Notamacropus eugenii: one gene and its partners. The protein of the gene in region 3 interacts with the protein of the main gene of each other region in a biochemical or structural test. Links are inferred from orthologs where the notes say so. Each region holds a gene or a part of one and is shown on either strand. Other genes may lie near its edges. The genes, in order: ITCH, STUB1, LRRK1 and POLR2M.

The links.
Region 1: the proteins of LRRK1 (region 3) and ITCH form a complex in vitro, tested with the Homo sapiens proteins (2 studies listed by BioGRID and IntAct, with this or other methods). The link is inferred for Notamacropus eugenii from reciprocal best matches to the Homo sapiens genes LRRK1 and ITCH.
Region 2: the proteins of LRRK1 (region 3) and STUB1 form a complex in vitro, tested with the Homo sapiens proteins (2 studies listed by BioGRID and IntAct, with this or other methods). The link is inferred for Notamacropus eugenii from reciprocal best matches to the Homo sapiens genes LRRK1 and STUB1.
Region 4: the proteins of LRRK1 (region 3) and POLR2M form a complex in vitro, tested with the Homo sapiens proteins (2 studies listed by BioGRID and IntAct, with this or other methods). The link is inferred for Notamacropus eugenii from reciprocal best matches to the Homo sapiens genes LRRK1 and POLR2M.

The regions. Positions count from the first base shown.
Region 1 is NC_092872.1:418,486,941-418,494,413, reverse strand, and holds the start of ITCH (E3 ubiquitin-protein ligase Itchy homolog), read right to left. Parts: upstream 3,003-7,473; 5' UTR 2,984-3,002; coding exon 2,789-2,983; intron 1-2,788. UniProt on the Homo sapiens protein: Acts as an Acts as an E3 ubiquitin-protein ligase which accepts ubiquitin from an E2 ubiquitin-conjugating enzyme in the form of a thioester and then directly transfers the ubiquitin to targeted substrates.
Region 2 is NC_092872.1:53,702,618-53,709,826, forward strand, and holds the start of STUB1 (E3 ubiquitin-protein ligase CHIP), read right to left. Parts: upstream 3,002-7,209; 5' UTR 2,509-3,001; coding exon 2,323-2,508; intron 1-2,322. Other genes in the region: uncharacterized protein, read left to right, coding at 3,335-3,462, 4,128-4,221, 5,259-5,478, 5,948-6,100, 6,333-6,508. UniProt on the Homo sapiens protein: E3 ubiquitin-protein ligase which targets misfolded chaperone substrates towards proteasomal degradation.
Region 3 is NC_092872.1:153,611,264-153,619,022, reverse strand, and holds the start of LRRK1 (leucine-rich repeat serine/threonine-protein kinase 1), read left to right. Parts: upstream 1-4,754; 5' UTR 4,755-4,854; intron 4,855-7,759.
Region 4 is NC_092872.1:138,862,540-138,870,250, forward strand, and holds the start of POLR2M (protein GRINL1A), read right to left. Parts: upstream 3,013-7,711; 5' UTR 2,923-3,012; intron 2,723-2,922; exon of another isoform or gene 2,308-2,722; 5' UTR 2,307-2,307; coding exon 2,206-2,306; intron 2,115-2,205; exon of another isoform or gene 1,133-2,114; coding exon of another isoform or gene 1,128-1,132; intron 1,094-1,127; exon of another isoform or gene 238-1,093; coding exon of another isoform or gene 173-237; intron 1-172.

The DNA of each region.
Region 1 (7,473 bases), about 260 Mb from region 3:
GGGTAGAGATGCAAATTACAGAAATAAAATTGAAACTCAAATGACAGGAAGCTAACTAAAGTAAAGGATGGAGACAATTACAAGACAAAAGCATGTGTGTGGGTGTGTGCGTGTGTGCGTGTGAAAAAATTCCTACCCAAACTAACAAGACAGACCAAGTGGATGAAAATGTCTATTGTTCCAATTTCAACATGGATTTTGATGGACACCCACAGAACTTCTCCAACACTCTGTATATCTAGGACACACAATACAGATAGATATGAAGGAACATGACCAGAAATGAACAGGAGGATTGTTTTCAGAAAGCTGCAAAGGTCTTTTACTGACCCCAAGTTTCCTATGAAAGCAAAGGCACGTTTTTTTCAATACTATCATTTTACCAGTGTTCTACATTAGCAACAAGATGTAGAGTATTACTGCCTCTAAAGAAAGGATGAGTATCATAGAAAGGGTAACAGAAAAGCGTAGTCTATACAAACAGATTACAACACATAACCAACAAAGAACTTCAAAGAACAGGAGTGAAGAATGCTACCCAAAAAACACATGAGAGAAAAAGATGGTTTGTCATATAGTAAAAGCAAAGGATTACAGTGGACAGCTACACTGTTCCACTGGTACCCTGCTGATATCAAGGCAAATAGAGAAAAGGATGATCTCCTCCCCATTGAGTAGTTCCTCTCTGAAGAACTTTTAGGACAACATGGACCTCACCAAAAAATGGGTAGGTATGAATAGGTTGCAATCTGCATTTTTGGAAAGAATGCCCAAAGCTTTGACACCAAAGACTCATATGAATATTTTCTGGTACATACCTAAATGTGTACATGTCTCCTGTGATAGACTAAAAAATCCTTGAGAACAAGGACTTTTTCATTTCTGTCTTTATTTCTTTGGTAGACATAGGTTAGCATGTAGCAGAAGCTTAATAAATTCTTGCTAATTGCTTGACTGGAAGGAAGTTAGATAGATACTTTTTAGTCCCTGGAATAGAGCACTAGCTCTTCATACCATTCAATCTAAACTCCTACTTCTTCTCAAAACCCAAACTGACCTGGTACTAATTGGTGGTGTTTCACATAAATATTAAGGAATGGCTCCCTAGGAACTGAACTCAAATATAATAGACTGTGTTATTCAGCCTTCTTAATGAGCCCCTTTGACCAATCTGACAGGGCAATCACTTGGCAACAGTAAACTTTTTTTCTGCATAGCTGAAAATATACAGATGTAATTATTTGGGCCTTATAGTCACTGTCTCTGAAGCCACTGTATTTGCCATTGAGTCCTTTACATTAACTGAAACTCAGAAACAGGATAGGATTTCACCAGATCTCAAATCAGTTCATTTCTGTGGTGAAAAGGTTCTTAGAAAATAAATCTCTAAATACCCATAGCTGGTTTAGAAAGTGAAAGAAAGTAATAGAAATGCACTACTTAATTCATTGTCTTGTAAATATAGCCTTTCTCCATAGTTTAAAAGCAAGAAGGCAGTGGCAGTTGGCTATTCTACAACATGAGGGGGGAAAAAATTCTACAACAAAAATCATACAACATACATATACACATAAAACCTATAACAGAAACCCATCCTATGAGAAGGCAAGAAGTATGGGAAAAAATTAAGAGGTATACTAAAACAAAGTTGTCTTTGTTCTGAATCAACTTTAACTCTCCTTTAAGAAATGTGCCTTTTTGAGAGCTTAAGCTCACCTGTTTACACGCAAGATGACTAATTTTAGACCCAACCTCTATCGCCACCCTACAGAGCTGGTGTTTTTATCTACTCTTTAAGTACTCACGTCAAAATACTCGTCTTAAAAACAAGTTACACCCCCTTCCCCACACACCACCACCACCACCATCATCATACTGTCGGGCTTTCATTTCCACCTGTGTTGGTCGGTTGCTTTTTTTTTAAAAGTCATCTCAGCTTCAATGACCCAAGAAAATAAACACTGCACTGAGGGCAAGGGGGCGGGCGCAGACAGAAGGCACCAGAGCCCCGGGGGAGAAAGGCAAGGGAACCGAACAGCCAGCGAGGACAATGGGAAGGAGGAGGGTTCGTCAGTCGCTCCCTCTCTTTCTGGCGGGTGCGATTTGAAAGAACCAGGTGAAAGCTGTGGACTCGGGAAAGCCAGAGCAGCGCTAGAGTGAGACGTCCTGGAAATGAAGCCGCAGGAAGGGGGCGGGGACAGCAAGTGGGCAATGTTCGCCCGCTCGCCCTCGCTCCGGACGCCTTCGGTCCCAGGGGGCTGCAGCCGCCCCCCGCCCCGGCCCGGCCCAGGTGCCAGCGGGGGGCGGGGAAGCCTCCGCCTCCACGCTCCCCTCCCCCCGCGGAACCCCGGCAGCAGGGTGCCTGCGGCTCGCGCCCAGTCACTAGCTAGCCGGGGCCGGCACGGAGCAGAGCCGAGCGGGGCGGAGCAGGGCTGGGCTCGGCAGCGAGGGGGGAGAAGCGCCCCGCCACCCTCGTTCTCCCCTCTCCGCCTCCTCCACACACAACTTCTGGGCCCGGGAGGCGGGGGACTCCAAGCCCCTCCGCCTCGCCAGCCCCACAAGCCAGCGTGCCGCCGCCGCTCCGGGCTCGTGCCGGCCCCCTCCCCCGCGCCCGGCGGCCCCACTTGTCCCTCTCCCCTCCCGCGGACCGGGCCCGGCAGTGAGGGGGCTCACAGAAACCAAGGGGCCACCCCTCCCTCCCTCCCTGCGGGGCACGGCTCCGTCCGTCCTCCCCGAGATCTCCCCCTCGCCCCGCTTCTAAACCAGCCGCCCTCCCGCAGGTGTTTACCGGTCTGGGGGGAAGAGGAGGAGGAGGCGGCAGCGGCGGCGGCAGCAGCAGCTCCTCAGTCCCGCGGCTAAGATGGCAGCCACTCCCGAGCTCCAACCACGGCGAGCAGCCAAAGTCGGCACCCAGTGCGCAGGCGCGGCCGCTCCGAGGTGGCGGAGCCAGGGAGCGGCCGGGACTACAAGTCCTAGTAGGCATCGCGAGCCCCGCCCATTTCCCAGCGAAAGGTGCCAGGTTTGGGGGCGGGGCAAAGGGGAGGGGGAAAAATCCTGAAGCAGCTGGCTTCCCCTAGATACTTCAAGGGCAGGTGATTCGGGTCTCGGCGATTCTTCTCTGGAAGTTCTGAGTGTGAGATGGGCACGGGTTGCATCGTTAGACGTAAGAGTCGGAAGTCCCGGGTTTGAGTTCTGACGCCGGCAAGTGTTGTGGGACCCTGAGCAAGTCGTGGCATTTGCCAGAACAAATGACGTCTGCTTCTGTAAAATGGGCATGATAACTCCTGTCCTTCCTGTCTCACAGCAGTGCTGGGTAACACCGCCAGTCCTAGTACCAGCTCCAGCCCCTGTACCCTGTCTGCCTCACACCAATCTGGATAATAACCCTGGCCCTACCGTTTGGCAAATAAAGGAAAGAGGTACCTATGTTTACATGGTGGTTGTCCTTCATTCTCGAAGACCAAAATGACATCACCATGATAAAGTCCAGTTTCAGTATGTCCGACTATGACTGATCAGATCAATACGAGGTCGGAATGCTTCACCACAGACTGGTCACAGATGTGAACATTTAGGGTGGATACTTCAAACTTGTGCATCCTCCGTTTCCTTTGTGCTGTTTCAGTTCTGCTTTGCTTATAGAGCACAGAACTTTTTCTGATGTGGGCACAGCATGCTGAGCGGTCCTGTGCCATGTTGCACAATCAAATCCAAAGTTCTTGAGAGAGACCTTGAGAGTGTCCTTGTATCACTTCTTCCGACCACCATGTGACCATCTGCCCTATACAAGTTCTCCATAAAATGGTCTTTTTGGCAAGCATACATTTTGCATTGAAACAACCATGGCCAGCCCATGAAAGTTGCGCTCTCTGAAGCATATTTTGAATGCCCTGCAATTTAGTTCAAGCAAGGACCTCAGCGTCGGGGTACCTTACCTATCTTCAGAATCTTCCTAAAACAGTTCAAATGGAGACGATTTGGTTTCCTGGCATGGCACTGGTAGACTGTCCAAGTTTCACAGGCATACAACAATGAGGTCAACACAACGGCTCTGTAGACTTCAGTTTGGTAGTCAATCTAATACCCCTTCTCTGCCATAGTTTTCTTAGGAGCCTCCCAAACACTGAGCTAGCTCTAGTAATGAGTGTGTCAACCTCATTGTCAATGTGTATATCCCTGGAAAGTACACTACCAAAGTGAGTGAACTTATCCATGGCATTCAAAACTTCTCCATTTGTTGTAACTGATGGTTCCATGTGTGGAACACCTGTGTTTTCTTGGTGTTAATTATTAGGCCCAAATTAGCACAGGCAGCAGAGAATTGACCCATACCTTGTTGCATCTCAGCTTCAGAGGCTGCATTGAGTGCACAATCATCTCCAAACAGAAAATCATGCACCAACACTCCCTCCTCCTTGGTCTTGAATTGTAGCCTTTTCAAATTGAACAATTTACCATCTGTATGGTAGCTGACCTTGATGCCATGTTCAGCTTCATTGAAAGCATTTGACAACATGGCTGAAAACACCATGCTAAAAAGCATGGGAGCAAGCACACCACCCTGTTTCACTCCATTGGTGGCTGACAAGGCACGAGAGCATTGTCCACTATCCAGAACCTGGGCACACATGCCATCATGAAATTGACATACAATACTGATGAACTTCTCTGGGCAACCAAATTTTGACGTAATTTTCCATAAGCCCTCACGACTGACAGTGTCAAAGGCCTTGGTCAGATCTATAAATATTGTGTATAGACCTCTGTTCTGCTCCTGGCATTTCTCCTGGAGTTGTCAGGCAGCAAACACCATAACAACTGTGCTTTGGCCCTTTATGAAGCCACGCTGGCTCACAGTTAGATGACCATCTTCCAGGTGAAGGATCAGCCTATTAAGGAGGACTCTAATAAAAATCTTGCCAGCAGTGACTAAGAGAGAGACACACCCCCACCCTCCCACCCCCATCCCTCACCCCGTGATTATCTCAGGACGATCTATTTTCTTTACCTTTATAGAGATGGACAATGGAGGCATCCTTGAACTTCTAGGGGATAACCTTCTCTTGCCATATAACCTGAAAAATTTCAGCGTGTGTTTACATAAGACTAACTAAAACAGGACAAGTAAGCCTGAAGTCCTTCTAGGAGCCAAGGCACAGTATTAAAGTGATATGAAGAAACCTCTTACTCTATACACAGCTTTACAAGGTGCTACAAGACATGATCATAGCATTAGAAGGGACTTCAGATTGTCAAATCCAATCTCAGTATTTACTCAGTTTCCTGATGGGAAAACTGAGTCCAAAAGAGGGAAAATGATTTGCCAGAGGTCACATAGTTAAAGGCAGAGCTTGAACTAGAACCTGGGTCTTTGGGGCTCATGCCACTGTACCATCCTGGGTCCCAAAGAATATAAGCTATGGGAAGGAATATAGCTGAGGGGCTCAGGCTGTCCAGCCTGGAAAGGCAAAGAGTCCTCCCTTCCATTCATATGCAACATACTGGGTTCAGAGGCCTTTGGGGCTAGCACAGGAAAACCTCTGATCAGAGTTCAAAGATCTATGCCACAAGACTCAGTAGCGACTAAAGCAACTCTCCACCTTCCTGCATGAAGACTTTATAACACATACAATCAGTAAGAGCCAAGAAATTAGAAGCTGCTACTGTCCCATACCCTTCTCCAATCATTTAGAGGGCGAAGTTTAGCCAGATAAGAGTAGAATAGGGGAAGAGGGAATTGAGCCATAGGCTATAAAGCCAGAAGGAACTTTGGCGGTCATCTAGTCTGATGTCATTTTACAGAAGAAAAAAAACAGAGGTGAAACATGACTTGCTGATATTGTACAAACAGCATGATAGTAAAACCAGAAGTCTAACCCTGAGTTCTTTGACTCCAAATCCAATGTTTTGTTTTGTTTTTCTGATGCTACCTTTCAAAAGTAAGAGTGGAAATCCTTTGATTATCCAACCATTTAAAAATAATTACTTTTGTTAGAATGAATTAATAAGACCCTGGTGTAAACTGGGCATTTACACCTTCTTGAGTCAATCCAAGGCATTGTTTGAGACTTGGTTATGTCCTAAAGAAATTGTATAAAAGGAGCTATCTCAGAATAAAAATTCTAAATTTTAAGAAAAGAGGAAGAAAGAGTCATACAGAGGCAGGCATGAAAGAACTGATATTATAGGAAGCAACTAACCAACAAAAGGACAGAGAAGAAAGATATCCAGGAGGGTTATTGGTTCTACAGGCTGACTCTACAGTGTGCCCCACCTACTCAAGGACTGAGGGAAGTACTGAAGGAAAAAAAGTATTCTCCCCAAATTCCTCTCCTGGTGCCTCTCTATCCACAGACACTATAATATAGTCTTATTTTTTTTTCAGCCCAAATATTTCCAGTAACATGAATTTTGCCCCTACCTCCAAAGAGGCCAAAGGTTAACTAGAAATAGATATAAATGTAAATTGAAGCAGAGCTCCATCTCTGCCTAAATATTAGGAATTTTTGTAACTGGGGCTGCTCTAAGAGATTGTGATTGAAACTTGTAACTTTTCATTTAAAATAAAGTCCCTTAAGTCTCAGAGAAGAGTACTTTGTGATTGCTTGTAAGTTTAAAACAAGCTAATTATTTTAACAGTGTTAACAAGTATTGAAAGAGATGTTATATAGAAGAGAGTTTAGAATTTTTCTGTTTATACCCAGAAGGCTGAAACAGTAGCAATGGATGAAAGCTGAGAAAAGGCAGAATAAGCTCTAACATAAGGACTCTCTAACAATCAATGATATTCAAAAATGTAATGAGCTGTCTTGGGAAATAATTATTTCTTCTTTGTCAGAGGTATTCAAGAAGAGACTGAATAATCACATTTAACAAATGTATAGAGGATACAGGTATAGGTTGAACTCGATGATATCTGAGGTCCTTTCCATCTCCAAGATTTAATAGATCTTCTCTTGACTTCACAAAGCAGCCACTTAAGGTCACTAGCACTTTGGCATTATGGAAAACAAAAAAGAAAATATTTTTATCCATACTTTGTATCTACCTCAGTGCTAGAAAGAGGTATACCTCAGGTATTTAGTAAATGGCAAATATGTTGGTGAATGGACGGTATTTCTGAGGCACCATGGCCCTTAAAGCTGTCCTGCGAAGACCAGCAAATCTTTGCCCAGGCATAGGCAAGAAGAGGGTCTGAGAGTAGGTCTGGCCATATTTATAATAACTGTTGACATTTATACAGTACTTTACATTGGATCCTCACAGACCCTGTGAGGTTGTCCGAATGTTATTAATTTCATTTAACAAGAGAGGACACTGAGACACAGAGAAAGGAAATGACTGAGCTTAGGCTGTGCAGTAAATACCAGAGCTTGGAAAGAAACCAGGTCTCTTGTCTTTTCCTTGCTTTTCTACTTGCTTTTCTACTGCAACCCAAGCTTCTGCCCAGTTTATCCTCACTCCTCTTGTAGG
Region 2 (7,209 bases), about 100 Mb from region 3:
ACTGTAACTACTGATCGATTATTGCTACAAACAGGCAAGAGCCCAAGCTGTCACTGCTGGAACAAAGTCACAAGAACTAGACTGAGAAAAAGGAGTCTGACCGGTGTGACTGTGTGTGAGCCTTGTGATACTGGAGGTGGTGAGGGGAAGCCTAGTGTCTTCAGAGGCCGTGTCCTATCACTGTTCTCTGCTCCACCATCCTTCCACGGTCAGCTCAGAAACATCTTCCCTTGATATATGGAAGAGCACAACGGGATGGAACCCCTAAAGTCCCATAGCCCTGCCTTGTTCTGTCCTGCCCAGTTGTCTGCAGGACAAATACAATGGAAAGGAGACACTGTCCTAGGTGCAGGGGATGTAAAACTCAGTGCCTGCCTAGCTCATTCCCCCTCTGAGACCCTTTCTTCCATCTCAGTCTTTGATATCAAGCAAGAGGAAAACCTTTGGCTTGACTTGTTTTACAGGAAAGGAGATTTGGTTCCTAGAGCTCACCACAGGAAAAAAAAGGCTATCCCTGAGCTGTCACCTCAGGGGCTCCATCCTCCAAACCATCTACAGAGTCACCTGAGCAGGTATCCGGAGAAAACCATCCTTAGTCCTGGTTAGGTTTTTTTTAGATCTGGGTGATATCTGGCAGTCTGTTCTCAAGTGAGGTCTCTACCCTTCTCAGCTTTTCAGGGACCTAGGTTGGTGAATGGGTCCCTTCCTAAACTCAAGTTCACCTATGAGTCAACTGAGCCATAAGCCATAGGCATGAAGCCACCTCCACAGTCCTGAAAAGCACGCTCAGGAAGCCAGGCAGGTGACAAATACAAGGTGCTACATTAAGATAAATAAATAGAGATAAACAGAAAGCCTCATCAGCTAAGCAGCTAAATAGCCTGAGTCACCAAATGTTCTACCTCACACATTCTTCCTCTTGGAATTTAGAATCAGGAAGGACTTTAAGAGGTAATTTTACATTCCTTCATTTACACTCCATACACTGAGTCCCACAACAGAGAAGGGATTTTTAGATGAAGAAACTGTGTCCCAGAGAAGTGACATGACTTGCTCAAGATCATACAAATAGTAAGAAACAAAGCTGACTTATGAACTCAGGACTTTCTCCTCCTGATTCCACACTCCCTCCAACATGCCCTGATGCCCCAACTAAGCCATCCAGCTATCAGACATTTAGGAGTCATTCCTTTGCTGAAGGAGCTTCAGAGACCAGCCTTTCATTGGTCCCGAGACCACTAGGCTACTCTTCCTTTAACCCCAAACACACAGAACTCTGGGATTCTTTTTTTCTCCCTAGACTATCCTCTCTAGATTCCTCCTCCCATTTTGTCTTTTCAGATCCTCCTTTCCCCCCCTTCTTTAACACCCTCATTCCTTATTTTCTCCTTCCCTCCTCGGATACTATCCACTGTTCCGGGCACGGAAACCAGAAAGCCTCTAACTCTACAAGGGAAAGGGAAGCAGCCAGCCGGTCCCTAGAAACTGTTAAGACATAGCCCCTTTCTCCAACCCTTTATCATTATGTGACCCAACATGGCACATTCTCAAAACAAACTGGTTCAGAATCCCCAAGGAAAGGCACTTTGCTCCGATATTTATTCTTCCATAGCCCCTAGAACAAAGCTCTGCAATTCAACAAATGATTTTTTAGTTTTTCCAGTAAATAAGATACTGTTGTAAAAAGTAATTGCACCAGTACAAGTACCTATCACTTTAAAATGTTCCTAGAAGGAAAGACCAATAAAAATGGGTTCCTCTGCCTAATCCAGAACGTTACATTTGTAATTACATTTAAGGAAAGGTTCGTGTTAACTCAGAAAAAAAATTCACTCGCGCCACTCTCATCTCAGCACCTTCGGGTGGCACTCCTTGGCATTCTGGAACAAGACTTCCAAGCTCTGCATTCAGCAAAGACAGTCTATCTCAAGCCCCAGAAATGAATTACTGGCTTTGTAAGGCTCGGCCCTGACCCCTGCCCAGCTGCAGACCACAGAGAAGCGGGGCTTAGGTTCCCTCTGATGAATGACCGCACACACGACACTCCCCCGCGCCCGGCCGGCCTGAGCTCGGCTCTGCAAGGACAGAAGCGCCTTTCCCTCTGCCGCGGCTCCCCGCCCCGATCCTGGGCCGCCGCGGCTCCCAGCCCCGATCCTGGGCCCCGAGACCCTCACCTGGGACAAAGGCATCCCGGGCCATTTCTTTGTGAGAGGCTTCGGAACTCGGCGGGGACCCTGGGAGCGCAGGCCACCCCCTCCCCCCGAGCTCGCGCTCCCCTTCTGGCCCGCGCCCCTTCCCCGGCCCCCGGTCCTCCGCACTCACGATGGCTTTGCTGTAACAGGCCGCGGCCTCGGGGTACTTGCGGCCCACAAAGAGCCGGTTCCCCTGCTCCTTCAGCTCCTGGGCGCTGGGGCTCTTCTCGGGGCTGCCCGCGCCGCCGCCCCCTGAGCCCAGGCGGGCGCCGCCGCCGCCGCCGCCCCCGCCCTCCTTCTCTTCTTTCCCCTTCATGGCTCCGGCCCGGCCCCGGCCTCGGCCTCTACCCCGGCCCGGCCCCGTGATCCGGTCACGGCCCCCGGCCCCGGGGGTGCGCAATACTCAGGTATGACCCCGCCCTGGCCCGGGCGCTGCCCACAGAGAGCGCCCGCGGCTCGGCTCGGACCCCCGAGCTCCGGTCCCAAAAAGCCCCGAATTCTTCCCTGCGGAGACCCAGCGCCGTCACCCAACCGGAAGTTCCGGCCGGGAAAGCAAGGAGGCCGGGAGAGCAGGGGGGTGGGGCCGGAAGAGAAGGGATGAGCCTGTGGAGAAGGACGCCGGAAAAGCGAGGAGATGGGGCGGGGGAAAGGCCGAGCCCACGAGGGGGCGGGACCAGCGGGAGACGGCGCACCGAAAGAAAGAGGTGGGGCTAGGCCCGAAGCCAGCTGGGTCCATCAGCACGTAAGAGCAACACTGGAGGGCTTGGGCCTCGCACCTCGGCCGAGCTCGGCAGGAAAGGCGGGGACCCGAGACGAGGCGGACGCACGGCTTTTATGCTTTCGGGGTGGAGGGCGGGGCCGAGGCGGAGCGCGCTTGGGAAAGAGGCGGGGCTGGGAGCGAGAGCCCGCCTCTAAAGGAGTGGGATTGGTCGGGGGCAAATAGGAGGGTGGAGAGAAGGCTCGCCGGCGCAGAGCGTGTCTGCGCGTGCGCGGGCGGAGGCGGCGGGCTTGCGTGGGGAAGGGAGGGCCGGTTTCCCTTCTCTCCTATCTCTTCCCACCCGAGTTAGGGTCCTGGAAGGCTGGTCGCGGTTCGGAGAGGCCCCCAGTCCTCAGGAGGTGCCCGGCTTCCTGGGGCTGGGGCCATGGGCCCGAGCGGGGGCCTGTATGGCTGTGACGACCCCCGGTGCTGGGCGGCAGTGCTGGGCTGCTACAAGGAGGTGGTCAGAGCCAAAGCGGGCAAGGCCCGCAAGCTTGCGGCTTTGGACGCGTGGTGAGCCCGCCTCCTCCAGAGCCCGCACCTCGGCCCCACTTCCGCAGGGGTCTGGAGCGGGGTGGGCAGAGGGAGGGGAGCAGCGCCCCGCGGCGGGCCCTAGCAGGGGGAGACTGCCCTGTGCCCAGCACCGCGCCCGCACACAGGAGGCGCGCGATAGACGAGACTGACCCGCACGGGGTGGGGGAGCCGGGGCCACACGTGGAAGGACTCATGGGTGGGTGTTGGGGTGCTCGTGTGACGGACAGCCGCACGTAGTGGGCCTCCCAGTCGGGACCGCTCAAGGCCAGGGAGAGTGGGGGTAAGAGCTGCCTTCACAAGCCTTCCCCCCGGGTTCTTGGTGGATGGCCAGACAGGGTCCGAGGCCCGGCTGCCTCTCTTCTCTTCTCCCTGAGAACCTGGACCCTAGGAAAATCTATTTCCCTTGTTCAAAGAGGCCCTGGTATCTGAGGGGCATCGGGCTAGTCCCTAAAGGGTCCAGGACACAGGAACCCCATCCGTGTGCGGGACTGTCTGGCACCTTGCCCTAAGGCAGCTTAGTTCCCCCCCCCCCCTTCCAGATCCCAGGGTAGACTTTGGGGAGTGCTGTCCCCATGGAACAGTGACCTGCCCTGACCCTTCCCTGTCACCACTACATACATGTAGTATGTGGATGCCCGTTTCAGGTATCAGGAGGAGCTGCCAGTTTCCATAAGGGAGAGAAAGGAGAAATACCTAACTCGAGATGAATTGGTGAAGCTGATGGAATGGAAGCTGGCGGTAAGCTCCCCATCTGAATAAGGTGGTGTCTGTAGGGATGGACATAGATCCAGGCCCAACAGGGAAGGCACAAAAGAAATTCTCAGGCCCATTCGGAGGGGTGACCTCACATAGCCCTTCCTTCAGACTCTAAACCTGTCCCTGTCCTCATCTCCCAAAACTGCTCCTTCCCTCTCCCCAAATTAAGTGATCTTGTATTTATTTTATGTCTATCTCTTCTGTTCTCTCTCTCTCCATCTCCTTACGTGTATGTATACATGAGTATGTGTGTGTATATACACACATACACACGTATGTTTTCTCCCTCAAGGAAATGTAAGCTCCTTGAAGGCGGTAACTTTCCGTTGTCTTTGTACCCACAGTGCCTCAAAAATAGCAGGCACTTAATAAATGCCCATTGATTGATTGATATCCAGTGAGTGATGGATAGGTAGGTGACTGTATCCTTAACTCTCCTTCCTAGGTTCTAGAATGTGCGAAATGGAATACCAGTGTTAGAGGGATCTTGGAGATTATGGTCCAACCCCTTCACTTCACAGAGGCAGAAACAAGCCCAGCAAAGGGGAAGTGACTTATCCAAACTCACATACTGAGTTAGTGCCAGATTTATAACTAGGTTTCAAGTCTTCTAATTCCCACCCTAATGAAGTCAAACCCCAGCCAAAAGTTCTGTTTAGTTTTTGGACTTAAAGTTTATAAAACCTTCTCTGTTCACATCCCCATCTTTGTAAGACATAGGATTTCTTCTTCAAGTTGGGGTAAAGGCTGCAATTGACAGGAATTGTATTGATAGGAATAGTATTTCCATTGAAAGAAGACTCAGGGTTCTAAGGAGAAGAGATTGGAGTGTGTTAATTGGCCTAGAACCTGCAGTCAGAAGATCTGGTCATAAATCTCAGTTCTGCCACTTATTAGCTGTGTGACAACCTCCCAGGACATCCGGATTGTGAGGCTGAACAGAGGGTCACTAAGAATTCAATTGTATATTCTCACCCTGTTCTTACCCTCCTGCCCTGTCCTTCCCCATACATGCTTAGAGGGGCAAGTTCAGACCACGACTGCAGCATTTGGTGGCCACTAACCCGGAAGAGATGGTGAAGCGGTGCACCACAGCAGCCTTCTCTCTATTGCCCAATGTGGAAGCTGCCATCACAGAGCTGAGCCAGCTGAAGGCCGTGGGACCAGCTACTGCCTCTGGTGAGGGAAGAGGAGGAGGAGAGGAGCCAAGGGTGGATCCCAGCAGACCGGTGACACTTGGTAACCTCTGGACCAAGACTGAGCCCAGGCTCTGCTGGTCCCTCAGGGGATGTTCTGAGGTGGAGAGGGAAACCTGGGTGTGTTATCTCCAACATCCTAAGGTCTGACTCTTCAACTCAGTGGGTGGAAAAGTATGTGTGACCTGAAATGACTGATGCTGATAGAGTGCAAGACACTCATTCCTTCCTTGGCTCTTCTGGAGGTTTGGGAGTATCCCCTCCCTCACCTGCTGCCTTGAAACACTAGTACTAGGCCATTTTCATCAGTCCAGTTCAACATTTTTCTAACCAATGGCCAAATCTGACCTCGTGCTAAGAGAGGACAAATCAGCCCCAGCAGAAGTGGTAACTTAGGGGTTCAGGGGAACTTGCTTAAGACGAGGTGACATTCAGGCCTTAGGTTCCATGGAATGTATGGATGGTCCTGGAGGATCCCCTGCCTTCCCATAACCCAGCTATACTTCTTTCAGCAATTTTGGCTGCAGGTGCCCCAGAGACAATAGCATTCATGGCAGATGAGGCAGTGGCTGCAGTCCCTGACCTTCCTGTGCTCCAGTATACTCTCAAACATTATATTTTGTATCTGGACAAGATCTGGGCCTGTGCTAAGAGACTGAACCAAGGTAAGGGTTAACTGCTGGAGGGATGTGTGTATCACAGTAGTCTCAGTCTCTGACAGACTGCCTAGATATCTCTGATGCCAGAAGGGTTTGTGGAATGATTAGGTGTAAATGTAGTGGGTAAAGGAGCTTCAGGCCTCTGGGCGGGGTAGGCCTCTAGCAGGAAGGCTCAGTTGCTTTGGGTAGGTCCAGAGTTGCATGTTCATTTTCCTTCCTCCTTGGGCTTTTCTCATAGTTGATCCTTTATCAGAATGGACTCCTCACCAGATAGAAATGTGCCTCTGGACCTGGACTGTGGCCCAAAAACTGTGTCCCACAGTCCTGCCCTCCTTTTCTTGGATGGCCCCCAAAGCCAGGGAAGATGCTGAAGATGTCAGACCTTCCAAGAAACGAAAAGCTAGTATTCACTGATCTGTATACACTATCTGTATACACTCCACCCAAGAGAAATGCATCAAGTCACAGTAACCTGCAGCCAGGCTCCTATCTACTGATATCCATGGAGGCCTCAGGGCCGAGGGTAGCCACTGTCATCCATTAAAATTGCCTTCCATCCCAACCTCATCTGGACCTCACTTCCTTAGATACCCTCCCAGGCTAGCACTGAGCTGGGAGTTAGGAAGATGGAGTGGATAGCTCCAATCCCATCACTAAGTTACCCTTGGGGAAGTCACTTAAACTGTCTTTGCAGTTCTAGTCACTTCTCCCTTTGCGTTCAATTCCTCCAAGGCTCAGGTATGTCCAGTCCTGTCTTCTCTTGTCCTATATGTGGTGTAGGGGGATGCCCCACCCCCCTTAGAGAGTTTAATAGTGTTAACTAAATAGAGCAGTGATTCTCACAGAACTAGGTGTGTGTGGAAATCAGAAGGAACTTAGTTTTCCAGAGTAGAAACACCTCCCACTGGAGCTTTCCTGAATTCAGAAACTAGAGAAGGCTGTAGGTGCTTAAAAGCTGGTAGGGCCCAGCTTCAGCCTCATGGGATTTCAGGGAATGAATGGGGTGGGGGTGGGGGGCCCAGTGGCTCAGCAGCTCTCAGCTAACTGCTCTGGCAGGAGGTGTAAACGGCTTCCTAATTGCCTTCACACATGAGCCTAAATTCGGAGGTGTGAGG
Region 3 (7,759 bases):
GACCTGGTCATGGGGGACAGTGAAGAAGCTCAGGGCATTGTTAAAAAAAAATGGCATTTCCAAAAACAATGACATCTGACCCATTCTTGAAAAGCACTTGGTCAAATTTCTTGTCTCTGTTAAGAACTTGGCAAAAAAAAATCTTCTCTAGACCTAGAGTGGAGAAACCCTATAATTTATAGTGATGGGTCTTGTCAAAAACCACTTACCCTACCCCCACTCCCACTAAGACCAGCCCACCTGAACTCTATGGTTCATCCTAGTCTTATTAGTCTTATATTAAGCACTATTGGATATGGCCATTCAGCCAGAGGTTAGGTAGAAAATACACAAATTGAAAGACATGAATTAATGTAAACTTTGACTCTACTTTGAATTGAAGACTATAACTCTGTGTCAAGTTCCTTCATTAAAAAGCTGTTAATATCATTAAAGGACAGAATGAACAGTAATTAATTTGGCAGGCAGTTATCTTCATTCATAGTACGATGTGTCTACCTGACTCAGTTTAAATTTAAGTTCCCAAAATAACACTCATTCAGTGGCCACCAAAACATACTATACACAACATATATATTCTGCCAAGCACTTTCTTTTTTTGGGAAAAAAGAGACTTGCACTGCATTCACCACAAAGATTTCCTCTATCTTATAAAGTCTTGCAGCTTGGTATATGTTTAGCTTTTAAGCATAACACGGGAGAATTTCACAGCAGTTTCACAGACAGCTCTGTATATCTATACCTAGGATATTAGAGCCAGAACATTAATTAATCAACATTTATTAAGTGCCTATTATGTGTCAGGTACTCTGCTAAGCACTAGGCATTAACAAGCTACTTAAAGTGAGAACTCTTTTTCCCCCCACAAACTGCAATTCTGCAGCAGGTAGTAAAGCTCTGTAGTTATCTCTAAGACCTTCTTTTGCTCTCTGTCTTCCCTTTGGAGCACTGATCATAAATAATAAAACCTATTTGTTGTTGTTTTTAACAACACCTTAAAGTGCATTCTTTATAACAGTCCTGTGAAGTAGGCAGCATAACTACTATATCCCCATTTTTCAGGTAAGGGAACTGAGGCTCACAAAATGTCAGTGAATTACCCACAGTCACACAGCTAGGAGGGAGCTTGAACTCAAACCCAGATTTTCCAGCATCAAGTCCCCAGGCTCTTATCACTAGGCTATGATGCTTATTGATCCAAATTGCTTAGTAAGACTTATACACTACTGGAAAGATTGGTATCACCTAGCCTTATTTTAGAAGTTTGCTACTCTCATATTGATTTCTAATCGATTCAACAAATAACAATATGGACTGATTGGAGGCAAGAGGTCTCCTACTACACCTGAGTGGTATAGGAATATTGCTTTAAAAAAAGTTGTGGATTTTGTCTCCTTTTTATATAACAAAAACTTAAGATGTTCTGTAATTCCACACTTGGGAATGCTATAAATTTTCCTATTTGACACTGAAATTTCAAAGCTTATTTTAAAAAAAATTCTTAAGGCATACTTTTAGTACCACCTAACTGGTATTTTTTTCTAGATGTGGAAAATGATGCTTATATTTGAGATTGGGGTGGGGGAGTAGTATAATAAAGTGAAACTTCAAAAATAAAAATCAACATGTGTATATGGAAAATCATGTATATGACATAGAATTGCTGTCCTTTTAGAAAATGCCATATGTAATTCATTGTTTTTTTTCTTATCAGTTAATATTCAACATATTGCCTTATTATTTTGTTAAATCAGGGTTTGACTTTACACACTGAACTTTCTGAATTTTTTCTTACATAACTTTAGACACTAACTTTAAAAATAATCCCTCAGAGGGTTCCTCTTCTTTCATTGCACAGTTATGCTTTTCATATGAAATGCTACTTAAATTGTTTAAATATTTATAATTAGTATACAGTATATCCTATTTTTTATAGCTGAAAGTACATGAAATGGTATGTTTAAACTTCTTGTATATACTGTATTTAGAAATGGAAATCTATGTAACATTAGGTTTTCGATTCTTTAAAGATTACTTTTCTGTGGTGTGGTTTTAAAAAAAAACCACTATAATCCTGTGAATTCTAATTCCACTGCAGATGAAGTTTAAAGCAATGCAACAACACTTTTAAAACAGAATAAACTTTTGGGACAAAACGGAATGATTTGTTTTTCTTATCAACAAAAATTCATACCCATTACATGTGGATGTTCTTTTTGTGTTCACCTGGACCTAGCAGACAAATGAAATACCTTAATTCAACTTTTTAAGAAAAAATCTACTTTGCTGAGAAATTAAATTTACATTTACATTTGTCCGGATTTACAACGTTAGACAAGAGTTCTAATCGCCAAAATAAGATTAGCTATCTTTTTATCTGGATGTTTGCATCTCGACTTTCTCAATTTTAAATCTGTTTTGAAACCTCAGCAAGTAATTCATAGCTAAGAGATGAAAGTTAAAGTTGGAATAAGGGCATCAGTGGCATTAAGTAGTAATCAACATTTTTAGGTTAATCTAATCTCTTGCATTTGAAGTTTTAAATGCAGCTCCTTCTGTATTTCAGTAAAATGCTATTTTTTTTTTTAAAAAAAGAGAAGGCTAAAATGTTTGTCATCAGATCATAGACTCTGGATCTGAGAAGCCAATTGCTTCCTTTTACAGATGAGACACTGAAGATGGGAGAGGCGATGTGACTTGAAATTTTATGATCACAGCATCTTTTTCACTGTACCACAGAGGCAGAGGGGGGAATAGTTTTGCCTTATTCAAGAAATATGTATTTGAAAATGTTACACTCTTTTTTTTCCCCAAGTGTTAGGTGAAGAGAAGTTTATTAAGAAAACAAATTTGGAAATTCTTTTGAATATATGTGTTAAATTGAATACTATGATTTGACCAACTCTGAACAGGGGAATTGTAGTTTCCAGTGCCCTCCTGTTTTGTTATGAGGCTTTTGTCAACCTAGTCATTTCATTCCCCTCTCTCCCCTCTCCAAAAATTGAAAAAAATCCTGAATTTTCAGCCTGACCCAATCTTACTACGTCCGCTGCCATGCATTTCCTAAAGAAGTCATTAGGTGGCATATGATGGTGTGGTTGCTAGTGGAATATTAAGAAGGAAGTTAAGAATAAATATTGTAATGAATCATAACGTCTGTACTGTGGGGTGGATTTGTTTGCTATCTTCATTCTTTCTTTCTTTAACCAGAACAGACAAAAACCCCATCGGGACATTACTGGGAAGTGGTAATACTATGCCCCTTTGCTATTATAAGGGTCTGTGTTATGAGTTGTTGTCCAATTATGAAAAGAGATTTGCCCCAATATGACTGCAGTCTTGTCAGGTCTCCAGTTATAGCTCTGCCTCACAGGGCGAGGCTTCCTAGCAGAGGTTCAGTCTGTTTGTAGGCCCGGAAAAGAGTTAAGAAATAACTAAGTCCAGGACATAGGGATGAGAGAGATATGTGAACCATGCAGATAAGTGCCTGTAGCCTTAATACACACTTAAAAGACTTAGGAAATATTTTTCCTAATGACAATCTCATGAAATACCACACTTGAAGCTTGTAACTATTATTAGACCCATTTTACAGATGAGGAAACTGGGGTTGAAAGATTCAATTTCTTTCTTGGCCTTATAGGGGCAGATAGATTTGTATAGTACATAGAATGGTAGGTCAGGAGTCAGGGAAGACGAGTTCAAATTCTGCCTCAAACACTTGGTAGCTTCATGACTACAACAAATCACTAAAACTATAAAATGGATAAAATAAAAGCAGTTGTTGAGGATCAAATAAAATATTTGTAAGACACAGCCCAGAACCTGGCACTTAGTAGGAGCTTTATAAATGCTTATTCCCTTCCCTTCATTAGAGTTAGTGACAAACCGGATTCAAATTCAGGTCTTTCTGACTCCAAGCCCAGAGCCTGCCACCACTTGCTCATAGTCACAGATCACCTAAAGGAATAAAGACATATTTTGAAGGCTTTAGCGGTCCAATTTGACTGGAGCATACAGTAATAATGGAAGGGGGAAGTCATCTAAGTTTAGACTGAAAAAAATAGGCAGGTGTCAGAACAGGGGAAGGACGTTACTTGACAAATTCGATTTTCACATCAGTTTCTGCTTCACTGAATGGAGAATATGGACAAGGGGAAGCTGCAAATTGTTTCTATATACAGATACATTAAATAAACGTTAGTAGGATGAGGCAGGGTTGCGTGGTGGATACAGCACACTGACTTCGGGGCCCGAAAGACTTCAAGTCCTGACTGACAGATACTGTGTCACCTTGGGGAAGGGAGTAACCTTCCCTGGACCTCAGTTTCCTCTTCTGTAAAAGCAGGGGACAGACTCCGAGGACCTTGATTCAAGTCTCCTAATTTCCATGGGCCTCAGTTTCCACATCTGTAAAATCGAGGGAGGACTCGAGAGCCTCTGCACTCTGCCCCGGGGCCGTGGTAATTTCTTTGGGTCGGAACTCCTCCTCCCCCGGCCACTGCTGCATTTCCTTCCAGGGTTCGATGTGGCCGCAGTAACCAGCCCCCCAACTTGACTCCTCCGCGGCCGGCCGCTCCCCAGCCCCCCGCCCGCCTCTCCCTTGGGCTGGCTGGTTACGGAGGAAGGGAGGTCCCGGCCGTGGCCCAGACCGTGACCGCGACCGGGGCCCAGGCGGAGCGCGGGAAGCGGGGGGAGGAAGGGGGGCGCTGCTCCGCTCCGGCCACGCCCTCCCCGGGGGACTCCCGCCCACGCCTCCCGCTTCCCTCCCTCCCCACGGAGGGAGCGGCAGTCGCGCTGAGCCCCGATTCCACCTGGCAGCGCGGGGGCCCCGGACCCCTCCCAGAGGAGCAGGTAAGCTTCTCCTCGGCCCCCTCCCCTATCTTGCTTTTTCCTCCTCCGGGACGCATCCACGCAGTTTGCGAGTGGGGCGGCAGGGCAGAGGCCACGCCAGGGGCTGGCCTCCTCGGGTCGGCCACCTCTGGAGGGCGGCCCGGCTGCCTCCGGAGCCCAGAGGACGTGGATCTTGGCCGGGGTGGGGGTGGGTGGGGGCGGGAACTTCCCCAGGTGCTGCTCACCTGGGCTCGGCCCGGGACAGAGCCGGCTGCCCGCGGCGCTGCGGGATACTCCGAAACCCAAACTTGCCTTCTGCTGCCGGGATTTCTCTGCAGTGACTCACATCCCCTGGGAGCTGCCTGCGAAGGGGACGGAATGTGGGTCCGGCTGGGGGGAGGGGGCTTGGGCGTCCGAACTTGGGGTTTGGGGAGAAGCAAGACCGGGGAACCGAGAAGGAAATCGGAGGACCCCGTCCAGTAGAGATAGGCACCAACTTCCTACCCTTGGGGACAAGTCCCTCCTGCAGTCCGCGATCCGTCCGGAGCTTAAACAGTGCCTGACACGCAGAGTGGGCGCCAAATAAATGTGTTTTACTTATTACTATCAGCCAAATCCTATTCTGCGTGCGCTTCCTTTTGCCAGTCTTTTAAAGGATGCCTGTTAAGGGGGTTATTTCCCCCAGAGACTCTTTTGGAGCCTGATCTGAGATGTCTAGAAACAAAAGCACCTTGCTTTTTTTTAAAACCATATGTAAGATTTTTTTATTCCTCTCTTCTGTATCTGTCAGGACATGCTGGAGGAGAAAAAAAATCACTTCCTAGGAAAAAAACCAACAAAAACAAGTAATGACACTCTTGCTGAAGTAGGATTTCAAATGATCCTTCAGAACCTAGACTTGGTTTGATAAGCTGCCGTGGTATTTGTGTAAGACGTTAAAAGAGGCCATTGTGATTAAGTAGCATTGTTTGAAACAGCAAAAGAAAAAAAGGAAGGACATGGGGTGTTAAAGAACTGACATCTAAACTTTCCCTTTGCTTTCAGACAAAATGCTTGGCCTTAGGCCTCCTTTCTTTTCTTTTTTAACATTTGGTTGTCAAGTCCTCGTATTTGGAGAAAAAGGGCATTTGGAGTTTAATTTCACTAAGTATGCATGGAAAGCAAAATATTGTCTAGTTGATAGGAATGTACTTAAATAAAATAAACTTTCAGGTCCTCCCACCTCAGTTAAACATTTTAGGAAAATTTGAGTTTTCTATTACCCTGATTCCTCCCATGGGGGTTTGGGGAAGATTAATGAGAATACCATTTACCTCTGTAATACCTGGGATATTGTTTTTGGCCAAAAACTCTTGAAGAAACTTACACTAACTTTGCCTGGAAGTTCAAGAATTTACTTCAGCAGGTGAACAGGGATACCTCAGGACATGCCCTCTTTATCTGCCAGTCGTGATTTGAAGGCCTTGGAAAACTGTGCTTGAAGGGACAGGGTAACAAATACTTTCCTAAGTCTGTGTGGCATTGTGATCCCTTTTTTCTGTGATTGTCTCTCACCAGCAGGCCTTTTCGCTGGATACTCTCTGTATCTCTACCTGTTGGGTTTAGTAAAAAGTCAGTCTTGAATTACTGAAATCTTTAAAGGCCCAATCGAGGTACTACTTCCTCTATATTGGCTGATCCACTGTCCTCAGCCTCACTCCCAAACTACCAGCTAAACTGATATATCTCCTCCTCAAATTTTCTTAGAGCACTTTGTCCTGAACTTTTATTGTTAATCACATTCTGCCTTCTGTCAGTTAATTTGTACATTTTTGCACATTTGTATAGCTGGAGAATTGATGTTGCCACCAAAAAGTCAGCACCCTGCTGCTTTGCTGATACACTTCTCCAAACTTAGGCTGGTTCTTACACAAAAGACCTAGGAGCTACCCTGTAAGTCTTTGCTGCCAGGTAGAATCCTCTAGAGCTTTACTTTATGAATTGCAAAGACTTTTTGAACCCAGTCACCTCTAGGCTGCAATTAGGCCCAGCCTTAGGACTTTCTGGTTTTACTTTCACCCTGACACACCCCTTTGAAGTAAATGGACTTCATTACTATCTTACTTTTGTGGGAGGGAGATGTGAGATCACAAAGAGAATATTGCTTTTATTCGGAGCTTTCGGAATCTTTGTAAGATGAAATGTTATGGGATACAGGCCTTTTTATTTTGAAAGATACATTTATATAGGTAGAAAAAGTTTGGAAACCACCCTTTGGCTGAAAAATGGAAAATTTACACTATTTACCTCTTCTAAGCTAATTTCATAATTTAGAAATTTGATTATACCAGGAACCTAACTAAAGATGAGGGTAACTTTGAGGAAGCTAAGATTTTATAGCAAACGTTGGCTGAGAAAGGAAAATGTGCACTATTTGCCACCTCTGACAGAAGATAATTTCCCAGTTTGGAGATTTGATTATGTCAGGAGTCCAAAGATAAGGGGATCTGTGAGGAAGCAGAGATCAGTTTGAGGGCAGAGATTAAGCAAAACTTAAGTTGCTACACTTTGTAACTTTTATTTAGCAAATGGACAAAATTGTGACTATAATGCTGCTCTGGTAGCAAAATATTATTTTGGTAAAAAGATTTTCTTAGAGAAACTGAAAGCAAAAAGGGGAACAGCATGTGTTGGGGGGTTTTAGCAGAAGCTAAGATTTCAAGTTTGCAGAAAAAAGTAAAAATGTGGAAAAACATTATTAGACATAGGAAACTTTAAAAAATTTTAGACAGTTGCCTAGCATTATATCATTTTTAGTGTTGGGTACATATAGTAAATATTTAATAACTCATTATATTTGAAGGCAGTTATTTACAATAGTTTTAGTCCCATTCTACGTCTCTTCCCCAAACCCAACCCCAGTGAATTTATTTTTTTAAGATTAGTT
Region 4 (7,711 bases), about 15 Mb from region 3:
CTCTATATTTGAAAGCTACCATGATTTTTATTTTTACATGCAGAACTGCATTAGTGTCACAGTGACTCTTTCCTGTATGGCACTGTGGCAGTAAAAGAACAATGTTCACTCAGTCACTCTACAGAACTGTTCTGGATTGGATACAAAGACAACGTGTTCAAAATGAACCCACCTGTTTCTGATGAATATGACTTTTTTTTTTTTTTTACAGGAGGAAGAGTGCAGACTTTCCTTCATTCAAAAGGCATTAGACAGCCAATTTGAACCTCCCCCTCTTTCCTATATGGCTGCATTTGAGTTCAGAAGACCTACTTTCTCTCTCTGTTACTTCTTACATTTAAATGAAAGAGTACCCGAAACAGCTAGGACTTAGAAAAGGTCAGAATGGTAAGCTATCAGAGGTCCTGGACTCAGAATCCTGTCAGAATTTGTGGTCAGTCAGGCCCAGTCCACCATCCCAGACTACTACTGAGCATCTAAGGGGAGCAACTCTATTAGCTGTGCCTAATCTGGAAGTGAATGTAGTGGAGCAAATGCTTTGTAAGATACTACATTAATTTTGAGCCCCCTTTCCCCAGGGACCAAATTGATAAGAGAAAATGTTTCCAGGGCCTGGGGAAAAACATCTGTAATTTCTATTCTTATTTCATCTTCCTCGTCAATATTCTTCTGTAAAAGCTAAAGAGAGAAAGAGAGAGAAAGACATAGGCATCCTTGCCTTACCTATGCCTTACACACTATGCTTTAATGAAGATATGAGAAGAGAAAAAGTAGGATTCCACAAACTCTCTCTCTCATGTGTATATATATATATACGCAGACACATATATAGTACGTATATACACACACACATATATTCTATAGTAGAATACATCTGCACATCCAAAGTCACATAAGTGAGTTAAAGGTCAAAATAGAGAATACAAGATCCTACTTAATGTGTATCATTGTTGGCTCTCCTTCCATGTAGGCCAAAATCATTTTTTGACTCTAGGCATAAAACAAGACAGGTTCGTAAGAGAAATTCACTCCTGTTACCAAGGAGGGCCAGCAAACAGTCCTAATCAAAGAAGCCTTCCCTAGAGATGACGAGGTCCCCCAGCTATCTACAGTGACGTTGTGCTTACTGCATCAGGTCCTGGAGCACGACACAGAGATAAGGTAACTTCCCTGGGGTCACAGAGCTGGTAAAAGTCTCAGAAGCAGCCAGCCAGGTCTTCCTTCCCCGGTCTGGCTCTCTAGCCAGAGTTTGAAGGTAAAAGGAACATCCTCCTTCTTTCCATTCTGCCTATCTAAATTCTACACGTCTTTTAAAGGTCACACGTACACCCATCTCCTCCAGGGTCCAAGACAAACTTGCTGCCCTTCCGAAGCTCTTTACAACCCGGCTCTACTGCTTTCCCAGCTTTACTGAACACTAGTTATCGGTCCAGCCACACCGGAAGCCCTTCCAGCACATTTTCCTGCCTCCTACTTCCACGCCTTTATACAGCACCCCCTCCAGGGACCCCTGGCCGCCTACACGACTCGGCTCCTTACCCTACTCCCTTAACTGGGCCCCTTCATTTCCCGTGTTTTTCCCAAATACTTCTATAGAACAAGAGCTCTTGGAGGAGAACTTTCACTTCTGTCAGTGCAAACGTTAGACCACGGCCAAACCTCCCCAGTCCTGGCTTCGGTCCGCTCTCACTGTCAGACAAAAGCACTGGACCGCACCGGCCTAAACTGGGCCTCCCGGCCCGAGGAACGACGTCAGGAGCTCCTGACAGCGAGCAGCTCGTTTGGAGAGCGCGTGCGGAGCGCTTCCGGAACGTTAACTGTCCGACCCACACTGGCGTTAGGCCTTCCGGTGTGGCGGGTCCCCCCCTCCCCATCCCCACCCCGCAGGCAGGTCACGAGCCTCCAGGGTTTCTGGCTAACACCTGCTTTAGTCTGGCGGAGTCATAACGACTTTAAATATCGTCTCACTGGATCCTCCGAGCGGGGAGGAAACTGAGGCAGAGCGGTTAAGTGACTGGCCCTGGGTCACCCAGCTAGAAAGCCTCTGGGACCCCCTTTGAACTCCTGCCACCGCGCCCCGTCGCTGCCCGTGGGAGGGCGATGGAGGGTGACCCGACTTCCGGAAGGGTCCGCAGAAGGCGGCCCCGCCCCCGCTCTCCCGGCCCCGCCCTCCGGTCTCCCCCGCTCTCGCGGCCCAGCACTCACTCGTTCCTCAGCAGCTTCTGCTGGCGCCCCAACATCTCCCGAAGCTCCCCCAGGGTCTTCTTCCGGAGCTCCTCGGTGCTCCCGGGCGGCGCCGACGACATCCTGCCGGAGACAACCTCAGCCAGGCGGACAGCCGCAGGCTCCCCGCTCGGCAACCCGAGCCCGCCGAAGCTACTGGTCCGAGGGCGACCACTCGCCCCGTTCACTGGGGGACGCCATCTTACCGGAACTAGTCATAGGATTCAACACCTGGAAACTTTATTTGTACTGGGGGCCGGGACACGGACAGAGCCGAACAGCCCACGACTCCTCCGGCGGGACAAGGGAAAGGGCGGGGAAGGGGAAGAGTGCGCAGGCGCAATGGGGATCACCCGAGCGCTGGAAACCTGCGGCCTCTGGGAGCGCTTTGAGATGGTGGCTTGGGAATTAAGGTCGCAGGTTGGGGCGGACAGGATTTAGGATGGCCGGATTGCATTTAGAGCCGGGAGGGGCCTTAGACGTCCTCTTGTGCAACCGCCTTTTTACAGATGAAACAAAACCACGTGCCCCAGAGAGGGAGAGTGAGCACGACCGGCCCAAAGTCACGTCCCGGCAAGGAATCGACTCAGTCCCCAAACTGCAAACCCGGTGTCGTTTCTTCCCCCCTCCCCCGCCCCCCCAGGGCACCTCGCGTCCGTATCCTTTTGCATCTCGGAGGACCTACAGAAGTACTCTTACCTGGTAGAGGAGGCCTCTGCTACCCTGGAGTAAACATGTGGCGCCAAATGCTGGCCCTAGAAATGCTCCATGGTATATGTCCTCCGTGCTCGTCATCTCCCTCCCATTGTGACAGGTGCATTACCCGCGCTGCTCTCCGCGTGGCTTGGTCCCAGGGTGACTGAGGCGGGAGGGGTGTAACAGGCCTCAGGCCCCGCGGGGGAGCCGGTCCCGAAGCACCTTGGACGAGTCTCGTGGAGATGGCAGGTCTCAGAGTGGGCCTCTCGGAGAGCACCCCTCGCCTGCGCGGGTAAAAGGAATCTCTTCCCCCGGGCGTTCTCTGCGCCATGAAATCACCAGGCCAGTCTCATTTAGATAGACCTTAGTGAACTTTGAAGCGCCGGCCTTGAACGACGCTTCGAGAGGCCGCCTCTCAACGTTGCCACTCTGCATTAAGGAACCTAAGGGAAAGGTAGGGTAAGTGACACATCTAGTAGGTGAGGAAACCCAGTTAATTTATTAAGCATCTGCTATGGGGGTGGGGGAGGGGATGAAGGAAGTCCCTGCTTTCTAGGAGCTCGCAACCTGATGGGGAAGGAAATATGCAAATGGGTATATACAAGATAAATAGGAAATAATCCAAAGAGGAAAGGCCCCGGTGTTTAGGGAGTTGAAGCAAAGCTTCCTGTAGAAGGTGCAGTTTTAACTGGGACTTGAAGGAAGCCAGAAGACAGAGATGAGGAGGGACAGCATTCCAGGCGTTGGGGACAGCTAGTGAAAATGCCTGGAACTAGGAAATAGCAATGAAGCTAGGTGTACAGAGTACACAGCAGGGAGTAAGGTGTAAGAAGATTGAAACGATAAGCCATTGTGGAGGACTTTGCCCATCAAACAGGGCGTTTTCTATGGGAAAAGAGGAGAGGAAATAAGCATTTATATAGCACCTATTCCATGCCAGATACCACACTAAAGGTGTTTTACAAGTATTATTTAATCCTCACCACAGTCTTGCCAAGTAAACGTTATTATTCTCATTTTAAGTTGGGGAAACCGAGACTAAGTGACTTGTCCACAGCTAGGAAGTATCTGAGGTAGTGTGTGAATCCACAGGTCTTCCTGACCCCAGGTCCAGCTTTCTATCCACAGCTGCCACCTTGTTGCCTCATTTTATTTGATGATATTTGATCCTGGAGGTGAAAAGGAACACCTGGAGATGATTGACTGGGGAGGGGGAAAGCATAATCAGAACTCTACAAAAATCAATTTGACAACTGAATCAAATCTCCTGATTTCAAGCCCAGTGAGGCTGTGAAAACCATTTGTATAGATCAGTAATATTCCCTTCATACCACATCACACCTATCAGATTGGCTAGCATGACAAAACAGGAAAATGACACTTGTTGGAGAAGATGTGGGAGAGTTGGAACACTAATTCATTGTTGGTGGAACTGTGAGCTGATCCAACCATTCTGGAAAGCAATTTGGAACTATACCCATAAGGCTATGAAAATGTGCATTCCCTTTGACCCACTTCTAGGGCTATATCCCAAAGGGAATCATAAAAATGGGAAAAGACCCACATGTACAAAAATATTTGTAGCAGCTCTTTTTGTGGTGGCCAAGAACTGGAAATTGAGGGAATGCCCATCAGTTGGGGAATGGCTAAGCAAGTTGTGGTATATGAATGTAATGGAATACTCTTGTGCTATAAGAAGTGACAAACAGGCAGGCTTCAGAACTACCTGGATAGACTTATATGAACTGATGCTGAGTGAAGTGAGCAAAACCAAGAAGTACATGCCCATCATTTTGGGGCCTTCCTCTGGATTTCTTAACATTAGATGAATACTTATACAGAGTAGAGGCTATCTATCCATATAATGGAAACAACACTAGAATAGCAGTCAAGTTAGATGTGGGATTGTAATCCCACCTCTGATATCATCCCATTCTGACAATGGACAGCACATAAACAACGAATGAAATTCCATTTAATGAATGTAGATTGTCTACTACATGCAAGGCACTGACTGTGCTAGGAATACAAATTCTGAAAAAAATTTATCTGATCTTAGCTATACACTTGAGGGAGGGGATGGGGGTACTATAAATGCACAAACAATTAAATAAGTATTCTGTGGAAAGAAACAACCTTAACTATGAAGGACCAGGGAAAACTTAATGAAAAAGATAATACCTAAACTGAGCCTTACAGAAGTGCAAGGATACCAGGAGGAATAGGTAAGAAAGGAGGGCTTTCCAGCCACAGGCTAATCCAAATGCATGAAGAAATATAAGATAGAATGACAGGTAAGGGGAACCTAATAATCTAGGTTGGCTGGAATGTTAAGGGGAGAGATAAGGTTGGGGGAGAAAAGGACTAAAAAGATGAACTGAAGCCAAATTTAAATGCCAGGCTAAGAAGTTTACAATATATCTTTGGGGAATATTAGAGTATTAGTTAAGAACAGAGATGGCCAGACTTTTCACTTAGGAAAATTATTTTGGCAACTGTATGGAAGATAGTTTAGAGGGGGACCAATTAAAAGCAAGGAAGCCAATTCAGTGGGCCATTGTAATTATCCACCAAGAGCTCTTGAACTAGATTGATAGTTACATGGAGAGAAAGGAAGAGATTTGAGAGGTATTATGGAAAGGAATGCAACTGGTTAAAATGGGAGAATAGTTAAAGGGAATCATCGAAGATGACTGAGTTTTACACGCATAGTGACAGAGAGGAGGGTAGTGCCCTATAAATAAATAGAAATGTTTGGATTAAGGCTCTGGGTTTCTAGGAACTCAGAGACCAAGAGGTAAGTCTTTTCTTCATGTGCAAAATATATTGTGGATATACTTCATCCCTAGCCAACTTAGCATGAGGATAAAAAGCGGTTCTGAATGTGGGAGTTCAGTTCAGACACCAAGGTCAGTAAGAAACAACCAAAAGGTAGAGGAAAAATGGTAATTATGTATATCCCAAGAATGATATTACTGATATGCATCTTAACTGTTATGTTTCTAGATGTTATTAATTTTGGTAAAGACATTAATTTGTTTCAAAAATATTTTGTAAAAAAGCAATTAAAACAATCACTGATAACTGAAATTTTCAGCAGTTGTATCTCAGTACAGTTGTCTTAAATTTTTATAGTCATTTTAAAAAGTAAAATAATATCTTATCATGGTAGATAATCATAACCAGTTTGAAGAAAAAAGTGTACTAGAGCAGCTGAAACTGGTACAAACAATGGCAGTAGAGATAGCGTCAGTGATAGAAATATAGAAACACAAAGTCGAAATTGAGAAAATATGATCTATTTTATTTATCGTTGGAATTCACAAGAACTATTATTAATGAAGAAAGATAGCTATGTTTACTTTGCATGATGCTTTAGCAACTGAGAGCACAAAGTCTAATAAACTGAAGTGGAATATCCAAAGTATATATGAAGAGTTCATAGTTCATTCTGGAAAACAGAATTTTCCAGAGAAAATTATATGCTTTTAATAAATAACAAAACAAAAAAATCCCAAAAGCATGTCTGCAACATCGGAAGGATTTCAGAGTTGCTAAGTATAAAAAAGTCTCGTTCAATAGGAAAAACAGTAATGCTACTTAACATCTATTGATATAAACCCACAAATAATTTGATAGAAAGGTGAATTGGCCATATGGCTGAAGATCTTTGTGTTCATTAAACTGAAACTAAAATGTTCTTAGTTTTCATTTTAAGTGAACAGTGCAACAGATACAGTCTATTTATTCAATTACATATGTATGCTATGTTATTGAAACTGAGGTTGGAGATTTCTGACTTTTAAAAATCTATTGATAGCAAGCTTACATCAAGATATTTTCACTATAATGCATGGAATTGTTTTTACTGAAAACGACAAAATGTAGGAGGATTGTATTGGATTCTGCATGAAAAGGTTACAATCAATGTCTGGATGATTAAAATATGGCCTCTTGGGGAATTTGAACACATTGCATGCTTCACAAATAATGACTTGTATCAGGGATTCAAGTTGTTACAAGTGTAACGGCATTCACAAAGCTGACCTTCTTGCTTCTGGCCAACCCCTTGGGTATGACAACTCTGAGTGGGCTTTGAACTTGGAAAATGATAAAACTCCCTGACTGCTCCCTGCTGCCATACTTGATTCAGCACTTTTGTACCCTTTGAGATGATGAAGCATTTATTGGCTACTGAACAGGAAGAACTGAAGACTGTAACTTTTGACCTTCTTCTCTTCTAGACACTTTATCCCACAAATCTCCTCAAAACAGTCCTAGAAGCCTTTGCATAGCCCTTCTCAAGTATCCCACTGCCTAAACATCTATAGCTGGTAGATTCAGGGGCTGCAACTCTATTGCAACACAGAGCTAAATAAAAGATGAAAAGATCTGCAAAGAATTTTATAAGAAGCACTTTTCACTACTGAGAAAAATGGAGCTATCACACTTAAACTCTGAAATGCTTACAGAGGTACATATACCATAAAGAGAGCAAAAAGAAAATTATCTGTATAAAATCATATATAGAGAGGCAATCTGTGCTGAAGTCAACACACTTCTGAGGGCTTTGAAGAATTTATTCACAAGATATCCAAAGGAGCAAAACATACAAAAGACATAGAGAGAAAAATCATAACTTATAAAAAGCCCCCCAAAATGGTAATATAGAGAACAAGTATAAAATCGTTTTTTTCTCCATTTTCCAATCTGTATAATTTTTATGACAAAAACTTACACACACATCAAGGCATCTGCAGTGGAGGGTATCAGTAGGAAACAGGTTTTTATA